Oryctolagus cuniculus: one gene and its partner. The protein of the gene in region 1 purifies or fractionates together with the protein of each later gene. This does not show direct contact. Links are inferred from orthologs where the notes say so. Each region holds a gene or a part of one and is shown in the gene's direction. Other genes may lie near its edges.

The links.
Region 2: the proteins of BSG (region 1) and GNPAT purify together in Homo sapiens (affinity purification with mass spectrometry; 3 studies listed by BioGRID and IntAct, counting the BioPlex papers as one, with this or other methods). This does not show direct contact. The link is inferred for Oryctolagus cuniculus from reciprocal best matches to the Homo sapiens genes BSG and GNPAT.

The regions. Positions count from the first base shown.
Region 1 is NC_091447.1:58,337,439-58,348,013, forward strand, and holds BSG (basigin precursor), read left to right. Parts: upstream 1-4,587; 5' UTR 4,588-4,600; coding exon 4,601-4,667; intron 4,668-6,476; coding exon of another isoform or gene 6,477-6,824; intron 6,825-7,356; coding exon 7,357-7,513; intron 7,514-7,845; coding exon 7,846-7,928; intron 7,929-8,008; coding exon 8,009-8,145; intron 8,146-8,236; coding exon 8,237-8,513; intron 8,514-8,681; coding exon 8,682-8,706; intron 8,707-9,095; coding exon 9,096-9,162; 3' UTR 9,163-9,496; downstream 9,497-10,575.
Region 2 is NC_091444.1:50,820,316-50,830,206, forward strand, and holds part of GNPAT (dihydroxyacetone phosphate acyltransferase), read left to right. Parts: intron 1-1,273; coding exon 1,274-1,450; intron 1,451-2,695; coding exon 2,696-2,825; intron 2,826-5,422; coding exon 5,423-5,550; intron 5,551-5,846; coding exon 5,847-5,922; intron 5,923-6,152; coding exon 6,153-6,304; intron 6,305-6,427; coding exon 6,428-6,558; intron 6,559-7,790; coding exon 7,791-8,014; intron 8,015-9,891. UniProt on the Homo sapiens protein: Dihydroxyacetonephosphate acyltransferase catalyzing the first step in the biosynthesis of plasmalogens, a subset of phospholipids that differ from other glycerolipids by having an alkyl chain attached through a vinyl ether linkage at the sn-1 position of the glycerol backbone, and which unique physical properties have an impact on various aspects of cell signaling and membrane biology.

The DNA.
Region 1 (10,575 bases):
CCCGGCAGGGACCTGGGGGAGGGTAGGCCTGGTGAGGCTGGGCTGCGGGCCTGGGGGGCAGCGGGGAGGGCATGGCCTGGCCTCTCCCCCCACACACCGGAGCTCCAGGAAGACCCGGATGCTAGGGGGGGAGAGACCGGCGCCGCCCGACTGGGCTTAGGGCTGGAGACCCCAGACTCGGGGGAAGGCCCTGGCTGCACGGCTGACTGCTGCCCCCTGCCACCCCAGACACTGCCTCTCCAACACGTATCCTGGGTTCTAACTGTGTAGCAGGAAATTGTACAGTAGCCTTGTCCCAAATACCAAAGAATACATTGTATACTAAAAAGTGGGCCCGCTCTTTGCTTTGTAAAGAAGTTTCTCTTTTCAGTGCTGTGGCCTAGCCCTTAAAGCTGCCTCCTGCAGTGCCAGTGCCGGCATCCCATATGGGTGCCCCTTCAAGTCCCGGCTGCTCCAGTTCCGATCCAGCTCTCTGCTATGGCCTGGGAAAGCAGTGGAAGATGATCCAAGTCCCTGGGCCCCTGCGCCCGTGGGGGAGACCCGGAGGAAGCTCCTGGCTTCGGATCGGTGCCGCTCCGGCCGTTGTGGCCAGTTGGAGAGTGAACCAGCAGATGGAAGACCTCTCTCTCTCTCTCTCTCTCTCTCTCTCTCTCTCTCTGTGTGTGTGTGTGTAACTCTTTCAAATGAATAAATAAATCTTAAAAAAAAAAATTGTAGCATGGCAGGTAAAGCCAGTTCCTGCAGCACGGGCATCCCATGAGGACACTGGTTCGAGTCCTGGCTCCTCCTCCGATCCAGCTCCCTTCTAACATCCCTGGGGAAGCAGCAGACGGTCGCCCAAGTCCTTGGGCCCCTGCACCCACACAGGAGACCTGGATGGAGCTCCCGGGCCATGGCAGCCATCTGGGCAGGAAACTAGTGGATACAAGATCTCTCTGGTCTCTCTGTAACTCTTTCAAAACAAATAAACCAATCTTTAAAACACAATGTTTACTTATGTATTTCATTTTACTTGAAAGAGACAGAGAAAAATCTTCCATCTGCTGCCTGCTGGGATCTGGGGGCTCCAGCCTGGTCCCCGTGAGGGCGCAGGATCTGCTTCCTTGGACTGTGTTAGGAGCGGCTGGAGCAGCAGAGCTGGGACTCGCTGGGGTGGGGGCACAGGAGACAGCGTAAGCACTGGACCAAATGCTGCTCCAAGTAACATCTCTCTTTTCTGTAATGCTATGCATTTCGTATATTCGAAGGGCAGAGCGATAGAGGTGGAGGAGGGGGAGAGAGAGAGAGAGGCAGGTAGGTCTGCCACGCTCTGGTTCACTCCCCAGATGGCTACGACACCTGAGGCTGGGCCAGGTGGAGCCCAGGAGCCGGGACTCCATCCGGGCCTCCCACTTCGGGCCAGGGCCGCCTTCTGCTGCGTCCCCAGGCCGTCAGCAGGGAGCTGGATCGGACGTGGAGCAGCCGGCACTGGCACAGATGCGGGATGTGAGCCCACTTCCAGAGAGCCTGCCCTCACCTAGCTCTTTAAAACCTGAAATTGCCTCGCACCAGCGAAGTCAGGTGACCTGGGAGCAGCTCCAGGAAGCAGAGGGCCAGGGCTGCGGAGAGTGGACCTGGGGGCTGGCCGGGGCTGGCGGGGCTGGCGGGGTGGGCAGGGCCTCCAGGGAGGAGGCCAGAAAACTGGGTCTCAGACAAAGCAGCTGCTGCCCCGGTTCTGGGAACAAAGGCCAAGGCTTCCGGGCAGCCCTGGAGTGCTCAGGGGCTCTGGGAGGGCCAGCAGGGGGCAGGAATTCCGCCCTACCCGCCATTGTTTGTGCAGCCTCCTGGCCTCATGTCCTGCACGTAGCCACTGGCTCCCTGCAGGCCTCCAGGGGCGGCTGGGACACTCCAGGCCCCTGCTCGCTGCTGCCCCTGCCAGCGGCTCCTCTGGCCTCCGCCTTCTGTCCAAGGCCCTCTGCGCAGCCTTGGGCACCCCGGGCTCCATCCACCCCTGCCTGTGGCCTCTCCTGTGTCAGCCCAGGTGCCGTCCCCAGCACAGAGCCACACGGGAGCCCCTGCCCCGGTCACTCACATCCCCCAGTGTTCCCTGGAGACTCACTGGTGCCCACACTTTCCCCCAAAGAGCAGCCCCATCTCCAGGAGCAGTCAGTCGGCCCTGGCTAACCGCGAATCCCCCTCCCGTCCCTGTGAGGTCCCGTCATTGGAGCCCCTGTGTCTGTGTCTCCACGGCATGGCCGTGGCGTCCTCGGGCCCCTCGGTTACTGCAGGAAAGGCTGTGGAAGCCGTGGGTTCTCGTCTTCACGCAAGAAAGAATTCAGGCGTGAGACAGAGAGCGGAGTGCTGAGGCTTTACTGGGGACAGGGCACCCGTCAGAACACTGGGGACAGACAGCGCGCGCGCCCAGTCGCTGGGACCGGGGGAGAGTGAGGTTCCGTGGTTGAGTGAACACACCTGGGCAGCCCAGGCGGGCGGGCGGCTCAGCAGAGAGGCAGAGGGCTCCCGAGGTGCTTAAGGAAGTCTGTTTACCCACCTCCCCTCTCCTCCAGGACAAAGGACAAAGGAGAACCCTGGTGGAAGGGTTTGTTGGGTGAAAACTAGCAAATTCCTCACCAGATTTGCTGGGGCCAGGCAAGGCAGAGGGACTTCCCTTGGGGCGTCTGAGAAGGTTTTATTGCCCCGTGTTATCAGGTCAGGTAACCCCTGTGGTCCTGAGAGAGGAGTCTCCTGGGGGAAGGGCTGGGAGTCCGAGCAGGGTCCGAGCAGGGCTTCGAAGTGCAAGGTGCTGGTCTCCAGGCTGTCCCTACACACAGAGGCTGCCTAACACCGCCACACTGTCCCGGGCCAGAGCCTCCCGGTGCATGGTATGCATGGCCCTGTTCCTGTCGATGGCCTGTGACCCCAGGGTTAAGCAGTGGCTCTGCTCTTCCAGGCACCACTTCGTGTCCCCAGCGGCAGGGTGCAAAGGCCCAGCCCGCCCTGCCCCCCGCTGGTCAGACCTGCTGACTGGCTGAGGACGCCTGTTCAGAGCCTTCGTAGACTTCGCACAGGTTTTACTGATTTATTTGAAAGGCTGAGTGACACAGAGAAATCTTCCATCCGCTGCTTCACTCCCCAGATACCTGCCACAGCCTGGGCCAGGCGGGAGCCCAATCCCGGTCTCCCGCGTGCGAGGCAGGGCCCCCGGGGACCTGGGCTGTCACACAGGGCTGATGGCAGTGGCATGGAGTGAGGGGACGCCACAGCCCAGGTCGGCGTGCCTGGGGCACACCCCGCTTCCTGCTCACCCACCACGCGGCGCCCATGCCCGGATGGAGCTCCCGGGCCCCTGCTCTGGCCCATCCTCACTCCACCCCTGCCACTTTCAAATAAATAAAATACAACTGAAACAGCAGAAAGCGAGCGCTTTCCGGGTGTACCTGCTGGCGGGGATGGGGGAACCCGTTCTCTTAGCCGAGGAAGAATCCTGAAGGCAGAGGCGTGGCCGGCCAGGCAGCAGCAGAAGGGGCAGGCAGCCCAGGGGAGGAACGGGTGGACCCGCGCCCGCCACCCACCCAGGGAAGCCAATGCCGTGCGGCTACACAGGGACCGCAGCTCATCTGCACCCAGACTGCGGACTGTGCGGCGCTCCTCCCTCCTCAGCCACAGGTGAGGGGTGCAGGAGTGACGAAGGAGGCATCCGCCCCAGGTGAGGGGTCCAAGAGTGATGGAGGAGGCACCCGCCCCAGGGGAGGGGTGCAGGAGTGATGGAGGGGGCATCCGCCCCAGGGGAGGGGTGCAGGAGTGATGGAGGAGGCATCCGCCCCAGGGGAGGGGTGCAGGAGTGACAGAGGGGGCACCCGCCCCAGGGGAGGGGTGCAGGAGTGATGGAGGAGGCATCCGCCCCAGGGGAGGGGTGCAGGAGTGACAGAGGGGGCACCCGCCCCAGGGGAGGGGTGTAGGAGTGACAGAGGGGGCATCCGCCCCAGGGGAGGGGTGCAGGAGTGACGGAGGGGGCACCCGCCCCAGGTTCCCCGGCTCAGCGCTGTCCCGCGGGGAGCCCACGCAACCCCGGGCACAGGACGGCCTCCTGTCCAGTACTGGGCCTGGGCGGGATCCCGCGGGGTAAAACTCGGGGCGCTTCCCCGACTCCTGGCCCTCCCCAGGCCGCGCTCGCACGCATGCGCCGACGCCTAACTTCCACCCCGACTCCACGGCACCTGGGCGCGCGCGCGGCCTGCGGCCCTCGTCTGGGTCGTGGGGGGTCCCAGCGCCGTCCCCAGCAGGGGTGCGGCAGGAACGTGCGCGTCTGAGCGCGCACCCTAGCCCCCGAGCCCTGCCCGGGGTCCCCGCTACGCCGCGCCGCCCCCGGGGTCCCGTGGCCCGCCCGGAGTCACGTGGCCCGCCCCGGCCTCCGCAGCCTCCGCCCGCCTGTCCGGCGCCCGCGTACGTGCGTGTGTGCGCGTGCGCGGAGCGCCCGTAGCCCCCACCACCACCACCGTGCGCGCCCCGCCCCCGGGGCACCGCCCTGCGTGCGCGCGCCCGGCACGCGCGCCCGGCCGGTCTTATAGGGGCCGTAGCCGGCAGCGGGCACGGCGCTCGGTGGACGGCGGACGGCGGGGACATGGCGGCTGTGCTGTTCGCGCTGCTGGCGCTCGCGCTGCTGCGCGCCGGGGGCGCCTCTGCGGCAGGTGGGCGCCGCTCGGGGGCTGCGGGCGGGGGCTACGAGCCGGGGCGGGGGGGCTACGAGCCGCCGCCGCCCCGGGGGTCCCGGCCCGGGCCCTCGTCGGGAGGGCGGCCACCCTGCAGAGCAGGGCCCCGGGTCTCGGGGGCCGCCGTCCCCCTCCACGGTGCACGCGGCCGGGGCTGACCCCCGCGTGGGACGCCGCTCGTGGCCCTCGGCTGCAGTCCGCGGCCGCTGCCCGGGCAGGCTGGGCCCCGGGATTATCATTCCTGCGGGGATTTGGCCGGCGGCGCGCCCGCGTTTGCGGGGTCTGCGCGGGCGTGCGGGCCCCCTCCTCCTCTGCCTGTTGGGGGTGGGTCTCCAAGGTCACCGCGAGGTCGCCCAGGCCGCTGGGGGGAGCCCCGCGTGGAGCCCCAGGGCCCGGCCGGGAGCTCCCGGGCCGCTGCTGACCCACTTCGGCGGCTTCCTCTTCCCGGTCCCCGGCCTCGACCGAGCGCGGGGGGCGCGAGGGAGCCCCAGGCGGCGCCGGGTTTCCTGCGGGGCCCCCGCGGAGCGCGCTCTGGCCCTGCCGGGCTTAGTCGACCGTACCCCGGGGCCGGGGGCCGTGCGGGATCTCAGCCCTGCGCGGAGCGGCGGTGTGCGTGGGCGCACGGTGCGTGGTGGGGTGTTGCTTCCGACTTGGCTCCCGGGCGCCTTATATGGGTGTTCGGGTCTTGCCCGTGCACGCTTCTGCTCTCTGTGCGGGGCCTGGCCGCGCTGGGTTGGCCACCTCCTGTCCCCCCGGGTCGGGGCCTGGCCAGCTCTGTTCTCCAGGCGCACAGCCGCGGGCCCCCGCGGGGGTTAGCCCAGGAGGGCCGCACTCTGGCCCGCCCCGAGCAAACGCTTAACCTCTGGCCTCCGGGGGAGGCTTGGCTGAGGGTGGGGCGGCAGAGGCGAGGCCCCCAGCGGGTGGGGCCCTTCCCTCCCGAGCGGCCCCGCCTTAGGCTGGGCTTGTTTACCGAGGCCGCGCCTGGCCCCCTGCCCGCCTGGCCGCTCTCTAGTGAAGGTGACTTGAACCTGAGTTGCAGATCACGTGGGCCGAGTGGAGCTGTGGCTTTTCTGAGACTGACCCTGGGGCTGGATGTGGCGTGGACTGGGGCGGCCAGGGGCCTCACCCCAGGGAGCTGGGCCACCAGTGTCCCCCTGACGTCCAGCTGCTCTTGTCGGAGGCTGCGTCTGTCCCTTGGGGAGCGCCAGGTGGTGCAGACCTGTGGAGGGGCGGCCGGTTCCCCACCTTGGACACCGGGGCTGGGACAGCTGCGGCCAGGCTAGTACGGCCTCTCCCGGTACCTGCAGGCGGCCGGGGTGTTCGGGGGGCACCTCGGCTTCACTTCCTGCCTGACTCAGCTCTGCCAGGGCTGTGGGATTTGCAGCTAGGGGTCCTTCTGCTGGAGGCCACCTGGGCTGGTCCAGCGGCCTCCAGGCGGGCCAGGGAGGCAGGTGCCTCGTCCCCAGGGCACCTGGGGCCGGAGCGTCAGGACCCAGGGGAGGGTGGACGGGAGCCCCTGCCCGCCCCTGTCCGCCTAGGCAGTGTCCAGGACCCTCTGTTGTGTTCAAATAAGGAAGCCGATGATGGCCCGGGTGTCCGTGCCAAGAGGGCCCTGCGCCCCTCACTGTCCCCACAGCTGCCTTGTTCGCAGAGCCCAGCGCCCGTCCCGTGACCTTAGGGGCTCAGCCCTAGCTGGACATGCGTGTGCTCCCCCTGCCCTGCCTTCCGTGGGGGCAGCCCGCTCCTGTTCTGCCGTGGGGGCCTCACGCTCTCGCCCTCTCCCCGTAGCTGGCTTTGTGCGGCCCCCACTGTCGCAGGAGGGGCGGGCGGGGGGCAGCGTGGAGCTGCACTGTGAGGCCGTGGGCCGCCCGGTCCCCGAGATCCAGTGGTGGTTTGAAGGGGACGGCCCCGGCGACGGCAGCTCCCAGCTCTGGGACGGCGCCCGGCAGGGCCGCGTGCACATCCACGCTGCCTACCGCGAGCACGCGGCCAGCACCGTGTCCATCGCCCAGCTCAGCGCCGAGGACGCGGGCACCTACGAGTGCCGGGCCAGCAACGACCCCGACCGCAACCACCTGACCCGGCCGCCCAGGGTCAAGTGGGTCCGTGCCCAGGCCAGCCTGGCGGTCCTGGAACGTGAGTGGCAGAGACCTGCCTCAGTGTCCCTCTTGTGCCATCGGCTCCCACCCAGTAGAGCCCAGGCCCTCTCCTGCCCGGTTCTGTCCCTCCCACCCACCTGAGCAGTCTCTGGCCTGGATGCGGGTGGGCCCCTCGCCCCCGTCCTGTCCGCCCATGCGTCCATCGCTCCGACCCGCTCCATCCGTGCTCCCTCCCTCCGTGGGCGCCTGTCTGGCTCTTGTCCTGGTCGGTGGGGCTGGGTCTGCTCCCTGGGTCAGCCCAGGTTCAAGGCTCTCCGGACCTCCCATGGGAACGTGCTCAGCTGACCGTGAGGCCGCTGTGTCGAGCCTGGGGTAGAGCGGGGCGGGGCGGGAGGTGTGGGCGTGCTGCAGGGCTGCTCCTAGCCTAGCCTAGCCGGGAGCTGATGCCTGGGCCACACCCCCGTGCACAAGGGCCCTCCGGAGGGCACCCTCTGAGCCAGGCCTCGGCGTGGCGGAGGGCCGACCCCTCCTCTCCTGCCCCTTGCTGACCTCTCGCCGTGGTCTCCCAGCGGGCACCGTGACGACTTCTGTGCAGAGCGGGGATTCCTGGGTGCAGCTCACCTGTACCTTGAACACCAGCGCCGCGGGCGTCACTGGGCACCGCTGGCTGAAAGGGAAGGAAGTGGTGAAGGAGGACCAGCTGCAGGGCCTGCACACCGAGCACAAGTGAGTGCGGGGGCCGGGGCCGGGGCCGCCCAGGCGGACCCTCCTCCTCCCTCCCGGGGGCTGGGGCAGGGGGCAGGGGGCCGGGTCTCAGCCCGGACCCTCCTCCTCCCTCCCGGGGGCTGGGGCAGGGGGCCGGGTCTCAGCCCGGACCCTCCTCCTCCCTCCCGGGGGCTGGGGCAGGGGGCCGGGTCTCAGCCCGGACCCTCCTCCTCCCTCCCGGGGGCTGGGGCAGGGGGCCAGGTCTCAGCCCGGACCCTCCTCCGGGGGGCAGCCCGGGGTCCTGCACGAGCCCCTCCACGGGCCCAGGCTCACAGCCGCTTGTCTTGTCGCAGCGTGACCGGGGACGACAGGTTTGGCAAGTACTCCTGCCTCTTCCTCCCCAAGGACACGGGCGAGGCCACGCTGACCGTGGACGGTGAGCGGGGGTCATGCTGGGGGCCTCGGGTGGGGCTCCTGCCGCGCCTGGGGTGCGAGGCTCCCTCTGGCTCCCCCCAGGGCCCCCCAGAATTAAGGCTGTGAAGAAGTCGGAGCACGCCAACGAGGGCGACTCGGTCACCCTGCTGTGCAAGTCGGAGTCCTTCCCCTTCGTGACCGCCTGGGTCTGGTACAAGGTGGCCGACTCCGGGGACCAGGTGAGGGCGCGGGGCAGGCCAGGGGGCGGTGGGGGGCCCACGGGGCGCCCTGTGGGGCCGGCCTCAGCCTCCCCCTGCCTCCTGCCCCCAGGTCATCCAGAACGGCTCCCAGAGCAGGTTCTTCATCAGCCACTCGGAGGCCCAGTCGGAGCTGCACATCAAGGACCTGGACCTGACCTCCGACCCCGGCGAGTACGCCTGCAACGGCACCAGCCTGCAGGGCACGGACGCGGCGGTGGTCACCCTGCGCGTGCGCAGCCGCCTGGCCGCCCTCTGGCCCTTCCTGGGCATCGTGGCCGAGGTGCTGGTGCTGGTCACCGTCATCTTCATCTACGAGAAGCGGCGGAAGCCGGATGAGGTGCTGGACGGTGAGTGACCCCCAGGGGGCGCCACGCCCGCGGCTCAGGCCCAGCCGCCCCTCAACTGCTCTGCAGGGCCTGGGTGTGCCCAGGAGAGGGAGGGGGTGGGGACGGGGAAGGGGGGGCAGCACTGACCCCTGACCCTGCCCTTCTCTTCCACGTGGCTGTGGTGCTCAGACGAGGACGCCGGTGCCGCGCCACTGTGAGTCCCGCTGTGGGGGGGGCACGCTGCAGGCTCCCTGTCCTCAGAGCTCAGCTGGGCCCTGTGGGAGTTGGGGGGGGGGGGCTTTGGCCACTCAGGGGGCCAGGCTGCAGGCCCTGTGGGGGTTGGGGGGGGCTTTGGCCACATGGGGGGCCAGGCTGCAGGCTCCCTGTCGTCAGAGCTCAGCTGGGCCCTGTGGGAGTTGGGGGGGGGCTTTGGCCACTCAGGGGGCCCAGGCTGCAGGCCCTGTGGGAGTTGGGGGGGGGGCTTTGGCCACTCAGGGGGCCCAGGCTGCAGGCCCTGTGGGGGTTGGGGGGGGCTTTGGCCACATGGGGGACCAGGCTGCAGGCTCCCTGTCGTCAGAGCTCAGCTGGGCCCTGTGTCTCCAGGAAAAGCAGCGGGCACCACGTGAATGACGACAAGGGCAAGAATGTCCGACAGAGGAACGCCAGCTGAGCCGGCCGCTCCGGGTTGGGGTGCAGCTGCGAGGAGCTGAGCCCTGCCCACCAAGGCTCCGCCCAGGGCTGGAGGCCACACCCCTACACCTGCCTGCTCCAAGGCTCCGCCCAGGGCTGAAGGCCACACCCTTACACCTGCCCTCCAGGCCCCTTGTGGGGGGGGGGACCCTGCCCTTTGAGGAAGGTCACAGGAGGCCCGGCCTCCAGCCTGTCTGGCCACGCCCTGCGCTTCCATTTTTATTCCTGGCTTCTGAGGGCACAGGACAGCTGTGGGGCCTCAGCTGCCCGCAGGGTGGCAGCCTCGTCCCCCAATAAAGACTGACCCCACCCGTGCACTGTGGCTTTGTCTGCCCCCAGCTGCCCCAGGCTGTGGGGGTTGGGGATCCCAGGCTGGGGCGGGTAGGAGGACTGTGTTGGGCCCTCTGGTCCCTGGAGGGAGGGACAGTGACCACCCTTGGAGCCCAGGCCCCCCACTCCTGCTGGGGATGGTGGGGGACTTCCTGCCAGGCTCAGACCCCTCCCCCACTCCCACACATGGGAGGAACTTCCTGCCAAGCACAGACGCCCCCCACACACGGGGTGGATTTCCTGCCCGGTGCTGGCCCCCCAACAGGCTTCCTGGACACGTGGCTGTGGCGCTCTGAGACCTGGTGCCCCCGAGTCCCCTGCAGGGGCCACCGGCTGGGCCGGGGCAAGCGTCCACTTCGGCCCTGAAGGGTACTGTGGGTCCCCAGGACCAGGGGGCCCGCCGCAGCTGCACAGATGCTGGAGGGAACTTGGGGAGCAGGGACTTGGGGTGAAGTTTGGCTGCGGTGGGGGCGGTGATGTGGGGCCTCGGGCCCTCAGCCAGCCTCTGCACCTGTCCCTTGGCTGGCCAGCCCCTCCCAAGTTCACTGGGAAGCCGGAGATCGGGTCAGACAGGGATAGGAGTTCTCCGTGTTGGAGGGATGCCACGCAGGCTGAGGGTGGATGGTGCAGTGGGCTCTGCTGCCTGGGACGCCAGCGTCCTGCGCCCTGCTGTCCTCCCAGCTCGGGCCTGGGGCTGCTCTGAGATGGGGGCTCCATTCCCAGTGTCCCCAGAGCCCTGGGCCAGGTGCGCGGCGGGGGCCCTGGAGGAACGCCAGGCTTGGCTGGCTGAGGTTCTGCTTGGAAATCCAGACCCAAGCGGCCAGCGCGGCCGCCGAGGCCCCGCGCTTCCTCCTGGCAACCACCAGAGGGCGCCGCGCACACACCGAGCAGGCGCGGACCCGACAGGGAGCCCTGTGCGTCTCCCCGGCTCCCAGCACGGACTCAGACCACTCTGCCCTGTCCGGGAGCACCGGCTGCCGGATGCACCGTGGTTTGCGTCCCTCTGGCTCGCCGCCGCCTCGGGTGGGCAAGACGGGTCCCCTCCTGCGTTTGCTGGGCGAGG
Region 2 (9,891 bases), on another chromosome or scaffold:
CTCTGCCTTTGCCTCTCTGTAACTCTACCGTTCAAATAAATAATAAATCTTAAAAAAAACACAAACAGTTGTGGTGGGGCAGGCATTGTAGTACAGTTACACTGCTCCTTGTGATTCTGAGTGCTGATTCAAATCTCATGTCTGAGTGCTGATTCAAATCCCAGCTACTCAGCTTCTGGTCCAACTTCCTGGTAATGTGCCTGGGGAGGCAGCAGAAGATAGCTCAAGTACATTGGCCTTTGCCACTCATGGAAGATCAGGATGACAGTCCTGGCTTCTGGCTTTGGCCTTGCCTATCACTGGCTATTGTGAGCATTTGGGGAGTGAATTAGCAGATGTAATGATACGTATCTCTCTTTCCTGTTCCTCCAACAGCCCCCCCCCTTTAACATTTTTATTTGAAAGGCAAAGTTGCAGAGAGAGAGGGAAAGACAGACTGAGAGAGAGGTATTCCATCTGCTGTTTTAGTCCCCAAATGGTTGCAATGGCTAGGGCTGGGCCAGGCTGAACCCAGGAGCCAGGAACTTCATCTAAGTCTCCCTCGTGGGTATAGGTGCCCAAGCACTAGAACCTCTTCCATTGCTTTCCCAGAGCATTAGCAGGGAACTGGATTGGAAATGGAGCTGCCAGGACACAAAGTGGTGCCCTTATGGGATTCTGGCATTGCAGATGGTGGCTTTGCCTGCTATACCACAATGCCGGTCCCTCAGCCTTTCAAATAAATAAATCTTAAAAAACAACAAGTTGTGGTATGCTATGTAAATAAAGTTTCATTTTAATAATTACCCTTTTGATAGTTTAGGAATTTTTATACCAATAATTTGTTTCTGGTGAAGTCTGAATTGCTTATTTCAGTGTAATTTGTCACTTTTAGCTTGTGCTCTTATATTACCTTGAAATAGCATGGAGCAAGCAGGTAAAGTGGTGCAGCAATCTACTGAGAGAAACTGCTAAAATCCTTATCATAGGCAACAACTTATTTTAAAGAGTTTGGATGTAAACCTAGTAACCAAATGGAACGATGTTTTCTTTACTCTAAAATGCTAGACTACAAAGCTGATTGTCTCTGAGTTTCTATCCTTTAAACTTGTCTGAATAGGATCATTTGTCTACTGTGTTGGAAAGTAAATTATATCAAATTAAGATAGAAAAAACACCATTTTTGAGTTGTATCACATTGGTCCACTTGGAACTGTTGTCATACTTATTTGAATATAAGAGACATGGCCTCCTCTTTAAAAGACATTTATCCCTGCTTCCCCTTCTATCATAGCTTTCCATGGAATCACTTCAATCTGTTGATGTTCTCCGAGAAGAAGTTTGTGAGATCTTGGATGAAATGAGCCACAAACTGCGTCTGGGAGCCATACGGTTTTTTGCTTTTGCCCTGAGCAAAATATTTAAACAAATTTTCTCAAAGGTGTGTGTAAATGAAGAAGGTATTCAAAAAGTGAGTATTGATTGTTTAAAACCAATATCTTCTTAAACCCCGCATGATTTAGTCGACTCACAAATGTCTGCCTTGGCCAGTAAATGCCAGGGGCCTAGTCATCACGGATCCCCTCTGAACAGATAGGATATGCCTCTCTGAGGGTTGGTTTGTTTTTTCTTTATAAGTTCAGACTTTGCACTAACTTAACTTTATGGCCTAACTTATGTCAGATGCTCACAAAAATTACAAAAGTAATACAGAGAATTTATATGCTTAATTTAGATTCCCCAAAAATATTTCCTTTATCCTTTTCCCAATACTTTTGTATGTTTTCTTATAGATAAGGATATTCTTTTATGCTGCAATAATAAAATAAATTGATATTGCTGCAGTACTAGTAATACAAACTTCATTCATACTTTGGCAGTTGTCCCAATTATATCCTGCATAGATGAGAAAGTCCTCGATCATGCGTTACATTCAGCATCTCTATCTCTTTAAACTCTTAATTTAGAACAATTCCTTAGTCTTTTTGTTTGTGTTTCATTATTTTTTTTTTTAATTTATTTTATTTGTTTGAAAAGTAGGGTTACAGAGAGAGGGAGAGATAGAGATCATCCATCTTCTGGTTTACTCCTCAAATGGCCACAACAGCCAGAGCTGGGCCAGGCCGAAGTTGGTAGCCTCCTCTGGGTCTCCCGTTTGGGTACAGGGGCCCAAGGACTTCTGCTGCTTTCCCAGGTGCACCAGCAGGGAGCTGGATCAGAAGTGGAGCAGCCAGGACTTGAATTGGCACACATATGGGATTCCAGCTTCGCAAGTGGTGACCCAACCTGCTACGCCACAGTGCCAGCCCCATGATACTTGTTTTTTAAAAAACAAGCCAACTATTTCATAGTGTCCCCTGATTTGGATTTATGTTACCTCTGCATTAGATTGTGAATCTAATGTGAAGCAATGTTGTAGTCTTCTCAATGCATCGTATTGAGAGCACATGGTGTCTGTCCTATTACTGAAGGTGCTCATTTCATCATTAATCCATAAAACTTACATTTTTAATATTCTTGCAATATGTGAAAGTGTTTAACTAGAACTCTGAAATAATGTTTTTACCTTCTCAGCCAATTAAGTTTGTGTATGATATGTAAGGTGATAAAGATGATTATTATTCCCTTTGTACATAGAGTTGTTCTGTTTTCTTATTTGAAATGTGATCTTAATAACACAACTGAAATTATTTAAAGTCTAAAATTTATTTTCAAGCTACAACGAGCCATCCAGGAGCATCCTGTTGTCTTGCTGCCTAGTCATCGAAGTTATATTGACTTTCTCATGTTGTCATTTCTTTTATACAACTATGATTTGCCTGTGCCAGTTATAGCAGCGGGAATGGGTACGTAGCTTTTCTACTTTTGTACTATGATAAATGTGTGGGTATTGTATATAAAAATAAAAATAAAATGATTCTACTGATACTGATGTCTGTGAAGATTATGATGATGAAAATAGACTCTCCTTCTTCCTTCCAATCCTAGGGTTTAACAGTTTGAATTATGTGCTTTTGTGTGGTATTTTACTTTGCACAGATATATAAAGGCATATAGGCACCAGGGTTTTTTGGTTTCGGTTTAAAAAATGAAACTTCCTGTATGTGTTACCTACTTTTTTTATTTTATATTACATTGATGAATATCTGTAGATCAATAAATAGATGTAACTATTTTTTTAAATGGTAAAATAAAGAATTTAGCAAATGCACATAATAAAAATTTACATTTTAACTATCTGTGAGTGTGCAGTTCATTGGCATAAAGTACATTCATATTGTTGGACTGTCATTACCACCACCCATTCACAAAACTTATCATCTTGAAAAATTGAAACTCTGGACCATTAAACAGCAACTCCTCATTCTACCTTCCCTGTCCCCAGGCAACCACCTTTCTACTTTCTGTTTGTGGATTTGGCTATTCTATACTTCGTATAAGTGAACTCACAAAATATTTGTCCTTTTGTGACTGGTGTTGACTCAGCATAATGCTCTCAAGTCCGTCCATGCTGCAGCATGTGTCAGGATTTCTTTTTAAAAAGTTGAATAATCCATTACATGAATATGCCACCTTCTTTTTCCATTCATCAGTAGACTGTTGGGTTGCTTTTGCTTTTTGGCTATTGCAAATAACACTGCTTGGAGCATGAAAGTACACGTATCTGTTTAAGATCCTACTTTCAAATATCCTACTTTCAAATGGATACCAAGGGATAGAATTGCTTTATCACATATTTAATTTTTAATTTTTTGAGGAACTACCATACTGTGGTGGTGGTACCATTGTATGTTCCCATCAACAATATATAAGAGTTCCATTTTTATTTTAAAAGTTTCAATTTTACATGTTTGCCAACACTTGCTTTTTGGATTTTTAAAAACAATAACCATTCTAATGGGTATGAAGTGCTATTTTATTGAAGTTTTTATTTTCATTTCCCTGATGATTAGTGTTATTGATTATCTTTTCAGTGAGCTTATTGACCATTTGTATACCTTTTTTAGAGAAAAGTCTGTTCAAGTCCATTGCCCATTTTTTAATTGGGTTATTTGATTTCTTGTTACTGTTGAATTGTAGGAACTCTTTATATACTCCTATTCTGGATATTTACCCCTTATGATATGCAAATATTGTCTCTCATTCCTTTGGTTCCTTTTCAATCTGTTGATTGTGTCCTTTGATACGCAGAAGATTTTAACCATGAGGCAAGCCCAGTTTATTTGTTCTTTTGTTCCTTTTGCTTTTGATATAAAAGCCAAGAAACTCTTGTGAAATAAGTGAAATAAGCCAGATACAGAAAGACAAATATATGTCTTTCTCATTTGTGGAAGGTGACATATATAAACTATGATAAATGTGTGGGTATTGTATTATTTGGTACATAGATAGTCGCAAATATTGTCTTCACTTAATTATATCCTCCACATAATAATATACCCTTCTTTTTTCACTTTATGATTATTGTCATAAATCCCATGTTAAATGATAAAATATTTGTTTTCATGTAAACGTAGTAAGTGAATATGGCAAAATGTGAAAAATTGTTAAATCTTATAAATTAATTAATGAAATGAAAATTAAAAACAATTGTTGCCAAATCCAATGTCAAGAAATTTTTCCCTTTTTTCTTCTAAGCATTTTATAATTGTAGATCTTACATTTAGAATTGCATAATATTTAGCAATCTGAATGTATCATACTTTAGTGGTTTTGCTATTATAAACAGTGTTTTAATGCTTTTATTTCTGTAGGATTGATTCCTACAAGTTGAACTGCTAAGGCAAATAAATTAACAATTCACTTTTAAGGTAGCCAGGAAGGTTAGGATTCAAGTATACATTTTGGTTAATAAATGAAGTAAATAGGAAGGTAAAAAATTGTGGGAGACTTAAGCACTTTCGTCTGAATATACAAGAAAAGAATTTATTTGAAAAGTAAGGAAAAACAGAAGGGCTGTTTTTAAACAGCAATGGTGCTCTTACCTTCATTTCAGACTTGCTTTATATAATCTCTTCCACCAAAAGTAGGTTGATATTTTTATCTGATGTGAGGAAGGTGAGAACTGGTTTGGCCTGCCTCTCAAAGGCGTGAAAGATACACATTGGTCTGTAACGCAGCTCAGCAACAGGGCTAAGAAATTGGCAGCATGACATTGTAAGTTGTCACATTGCCCTACTATTGTCCTTGCTCTCTAGCCAGCTTGGTTGTAAAGGCAATGGTACATGGTGGCACAAGGCAAGCTCCCAATGATCACCTGGCCCACAGAGTCCCTTCTTTTCCATAATTCTGTTAAATGTATCTTCTTATGGATTTTAATATTAGAAAGTATAATATCATAAGGATATATCAGATACATAAATCATAACAGTGTTTGAGTGTAGGTCTTTATAGAAAGTTTCAAGATCTGCAAATAAATGTCAATCCTTCCTTTATTTTCTAGACTTCCTGGGAATGAAAATGATTGGTGAGCTATTGAGGATGTCAGGTGCCTTCTTCATGCGGCGCACCTTTGGTGGCAATAAACTCTACTGGGCTGTATTCTCTGAATATGTAAAAACTATGTTACGGGTAAATGCAAATAACTACCAAGTAAATATTTTCTCTTCGCTGATATTTGCTCTAAGTTCTTAACTTCTGGATAGGCCACTTAGCTATTCCCCTCCTCCTCCCAAAGAATGTTCAGAACCTCAGTGATCTGTTTAGTTTCTGTGACTCTCTTATTTAAGTTTCACTATAAGCAGTGTTTGTTCAGAGGGGTGGGGAGGGAGTTGGGGAAAGGGAGTCAAAAGAAGAATTTATCATTTGGAGAGTAGGCAATGGGTTTTGTGTTTTTTGTTTTGTTTGTTTGTGTTTTCTCTTTAAAGAATGGTTATGCTCCTGTTGAATTTTTCCTCGAAGGGACAAGAAGCCGCTCTGCCAAAACATTGACTCCTAAATTTGGTAGGTCACTGACAGATGAGAAATTACAACCCCAAAGACTTTAGGTGTAGTATAAGTATATCTGCTGAATAGAAATTGACACTGTATGGCTATAGAAATTATTTAATTTCTAAGTGTGTTTAACTGTTTATATTCATGGCTTAGTGTAAATGTACACTTTAGTCCTGTTTGTATACTCTTGTGTACTGTGCTCCTCAATATATATAAAACATTTCTCTCCATGTTTAAAGGTCTTCTGAGTATTGTGATGGAACCATTTTTCAAAAGAGAAGTTTTTGATACCTACCTTGTTCCAATTAGCATCAGTTATGATAAGATATTAGAAGAAACTCTTTATGCATATGAGCTTCTAGGGGTTCCTAAGCCAAAAGAATCTACAACTGTACGTAAAACATAACCAAACTTGATTTTATGTGAATTTAGAAAATGTGCTAACTTACACATCAACTACTTTCTGAATTTACTCTGTTTTTTGTTCTTCTCCCTTATTGTGTTACTATGTTAGGGACTCTTGAAAGCCAGAAGGATTCTGTCTGAGAATTTTGGAAGCATCTATGTGTACTTTGGGGACCCTGTGTCACTTCGATCTCTGGCCTCTGGGAGGATGAGTAGGAGCCCATATAACTTGGTTCCAAGGTACAAGGCCTATGTTTTAATATCTGATGCAGCAGGAAGGACTAAAATCTAAACGTATGAATTGTTATTTTTCCGTTGACCACTTCTAAGACTGAAACTTGGTTTCCTTAGATCATATAGCAAATTATCACGGAAGCATTGTCATTCCATTTTCATCCATGGAAAGCTTCAATTAAAAAAGAATTATGTGTTTGCCAGAAAAAATGGCTAGCTGTGGAGATATGTATGTCAAATGTAGGAAGTGAGACAATGATTGTTCTTTAGGACACTAACTTGAGGGAAGAATAATGCTGTTATTAACAAGTATATGTATGAGTATTGTTGAGCCATATTGCTAGGCCAGCCAAACTATGTACTAAGTATTATTTTTGATCCTAGAAAAGATTACATAACAATGCATGTGAGTCCCTCTTCTCAATAAGATTATGGTTTTATGGACAAGAAAATGTATTAGGTTCTTTCAGAATGTAAGTATAGATACACATTTGGGCTTTCTTAATTTAGAGACGTACTCCTGGAGAAGTAGGGAAAACAAACCATGTACCTAGTTAGGCCTTATTTGACTGTAGCATTGTTCCCTGTAGTATCAGCACAGATCTAAAAGACCTCACCAGGAGGTGTATTTGTCTTCTCAGAAGCAGGTGTTAGCTTTTTGCTCTCATAGGCTTTTTCTCTGTAGATCTCAAATTGGGTTGGCCACTCTTACTGGCTACAACTTTCACGTTAAGCCACCTTATTATGTGGCTGCTTTTAGGTCACATGTGTCTCCCTGCTCCAGCTAACTCTGTGTAGGCCTTGTCAGATACTTCACAGTTTGGTGAACCATGCCTGAAGAAGCTGTTAGAAGAGGAGCACAGTAGTGCTTGACATGTGCTCTGATGCTTTGCAGGGTAGGGCAGCATGATGGCTCAAAGTGTTGGATTCTGGAAAGATGGCAGTTCATCCTACTGGGGAAGTATTAGTTTTCTGAGATGGTTTCTATTATAAAGCAATATAGTTTTTTTTTTTTTTTTTGGTCTGGAACTGGGAATTAATAGGATCCTATTTCCTTGAATAATTTAATATTTCCTCAACAGCATACCCTAGAGATATATGCTTACAGGTGACCTGAAAGAATTCAGTTGTCAGAAAGTATTTGGCTTCTAAAGGCCTGTCTTCTCCTATTGTACTTCTCATTTCCAGTTGTCTAAGAAGCGGATCTGTAATTTGATGTTGTGTGTTCTTCATTTTAGGTATATTCCTCAGAAGCAATCCGAGGACATGCATGCCTTTGTCACTGAAGTTGCCTACAAAATGCAGCTTCTGCAAATTGAAAACCTAGTTCTGAGCCCATGGCCCCTAATAGTTGCTGTTCTGCTTCAGAACCGGCCATCCATGGACTTTGATGCTCTGTTAGAAAAGACTTTATGGCTGAAAGGCTTAACCCAGGCATTTGGAGGATTTCTTATTTGGCCTGGTAAGTTGGTGAGACATACATGTAGAGAATGCCCACTTTTAAAAAAAATGTCTCGATTTTAAAAAAGTTAGCCTATATAGGTTGAGAAACCTATATAGGACTTTAAGCAGAGCCTTGCTCAGAGAAAGAAAAAAACAATTCGTTTTCATCACTTGGGTGGTATATTGAACACACCATGTTGATTGTTGAAAGTAATTGTGCACATGACCAGACCCGCTTTTCAGTTCTAAATAGATGGAAGGTTAGAATGTTGTCTCCTTGGCACCTACCAGAGTGGAGGATGAAGACACAGATCTTTGGCATTCTCATAACTCCTTCCATCCCCACCCACCTCTTTTAAACTGTGCTGATTAGCTCCCTGTTTGCCTCCCTGGATTATAAGTATTAAAAGGTTAGTCTTGTAGAACTTAGTGTAATTCTCAGATATCAACTTGATAGAAACCTCATTGGAATTTAAATACTATACTTTAATGTGGGGCATATATGACAATAGTTAGCTAAAGTTGTTTTCAGTCTCTGATTTAAAATTGTACACATTGGGCCAGCGCCGTGGCTCACTTGGTTAATCCTCTGCCTGCAGTGCCGGCATCCCATATAGGCCGGGTTCTAGTCCTGGTTGCTCCTCTTCCAGTCCAGCTCTCTGCTGTGGCCTGGGAGGGCAGTGGAGGATGGCCCAAGTGCTTGGGCCCTGCACCCGCATGGGAGACCAGGAGAAGCACCTGGCTCCTGGCTTTGGATCAGCATAGCACCAGTCATAGCGGCCATTTTGGGGGGTGAACCAACAGAAGGAAGACCTTTCTCTCTGTCTTTCTCTTTCACTGTCTAACTCTATCTGTCAAATAAATAAAAAATAAAAATTGTACACATTACAGTTGGAAGTGTAATTCTTTTAAGGTAATTATTTATAGTCAGGTTCCTTCTGCTCACTCATCAAGCAGGAATGCCAGGTCAGCGCTTGGTACTTCCAGGGATTCAGAAATGAACAGATGAGAGTCCTGTCCTGGAGGTTCTCCTGGTTTGTAGAGGGCAGTGGCGGGTGGGTAATGTGTAAACCAGTTGTAGGGGCTTAGTGAAATACAAACAAGGGGCTGTGGACACACTGCAGAGGATTCCTGAAATAACTGTGTAATTTCATGCTCGGGAAGATTTCATTGAAATGGTAACTTTTGAACTGATATTAATGGAAAGATAAAAGCTTGTCAGGAAAATGAGAGAGCCTTGCCTTGGTCATATAGGGATTAGGAAATGTGAGATCATAGGGTTTGTAGCCTGTATGTGGCAAGGGCATGATAGAATACTGGCTGTAGGTAAGGGACACAAGATAAGTATGTGGCTGTGGTTAGATTGTGTAGGCCTGCAGACCTTTGGGATCTAAAATCTGTAGTTTATAAGAAGCAATAATGGATTTTTTTAAAGATTTATTTTATTTGAAAGAATTAGGTTGAGACAGAGAGATCTTCCATCTGCTCGTTTATTCCCCAAATGGCCACAACAGCCTTAGCTGAGCCAATCCGAAGCCAGGAGCCAAGAGCTTTTTCCATGTCTCCCACTTGGGTACAGGAGCCTGAGGACTTAGGCCATCCTCTGCTGCTTTCCCAGGCAAAGTAGCAGGGAGCTGGATTAGAAGTGGAGCAGCCAGACTCAAACTAGTGCCCATATGGGATGCCGGTGCTATAGACTGGAACTCTAACCTACTGTGCCACTTCGCACCCCACCGTAATAGATTTTAAGCAGAGAACCATGACACATTGGTTTTTATAAAATAACCATTATCAGTTTTAAAGAGAGAACTCAGTGACTGAATGTGGGACTCAAGGAAGAGATGTTTAGGAGGAACTACTAACAGAAGTGCCAGTGAATCACAAGGCTGTCACCAA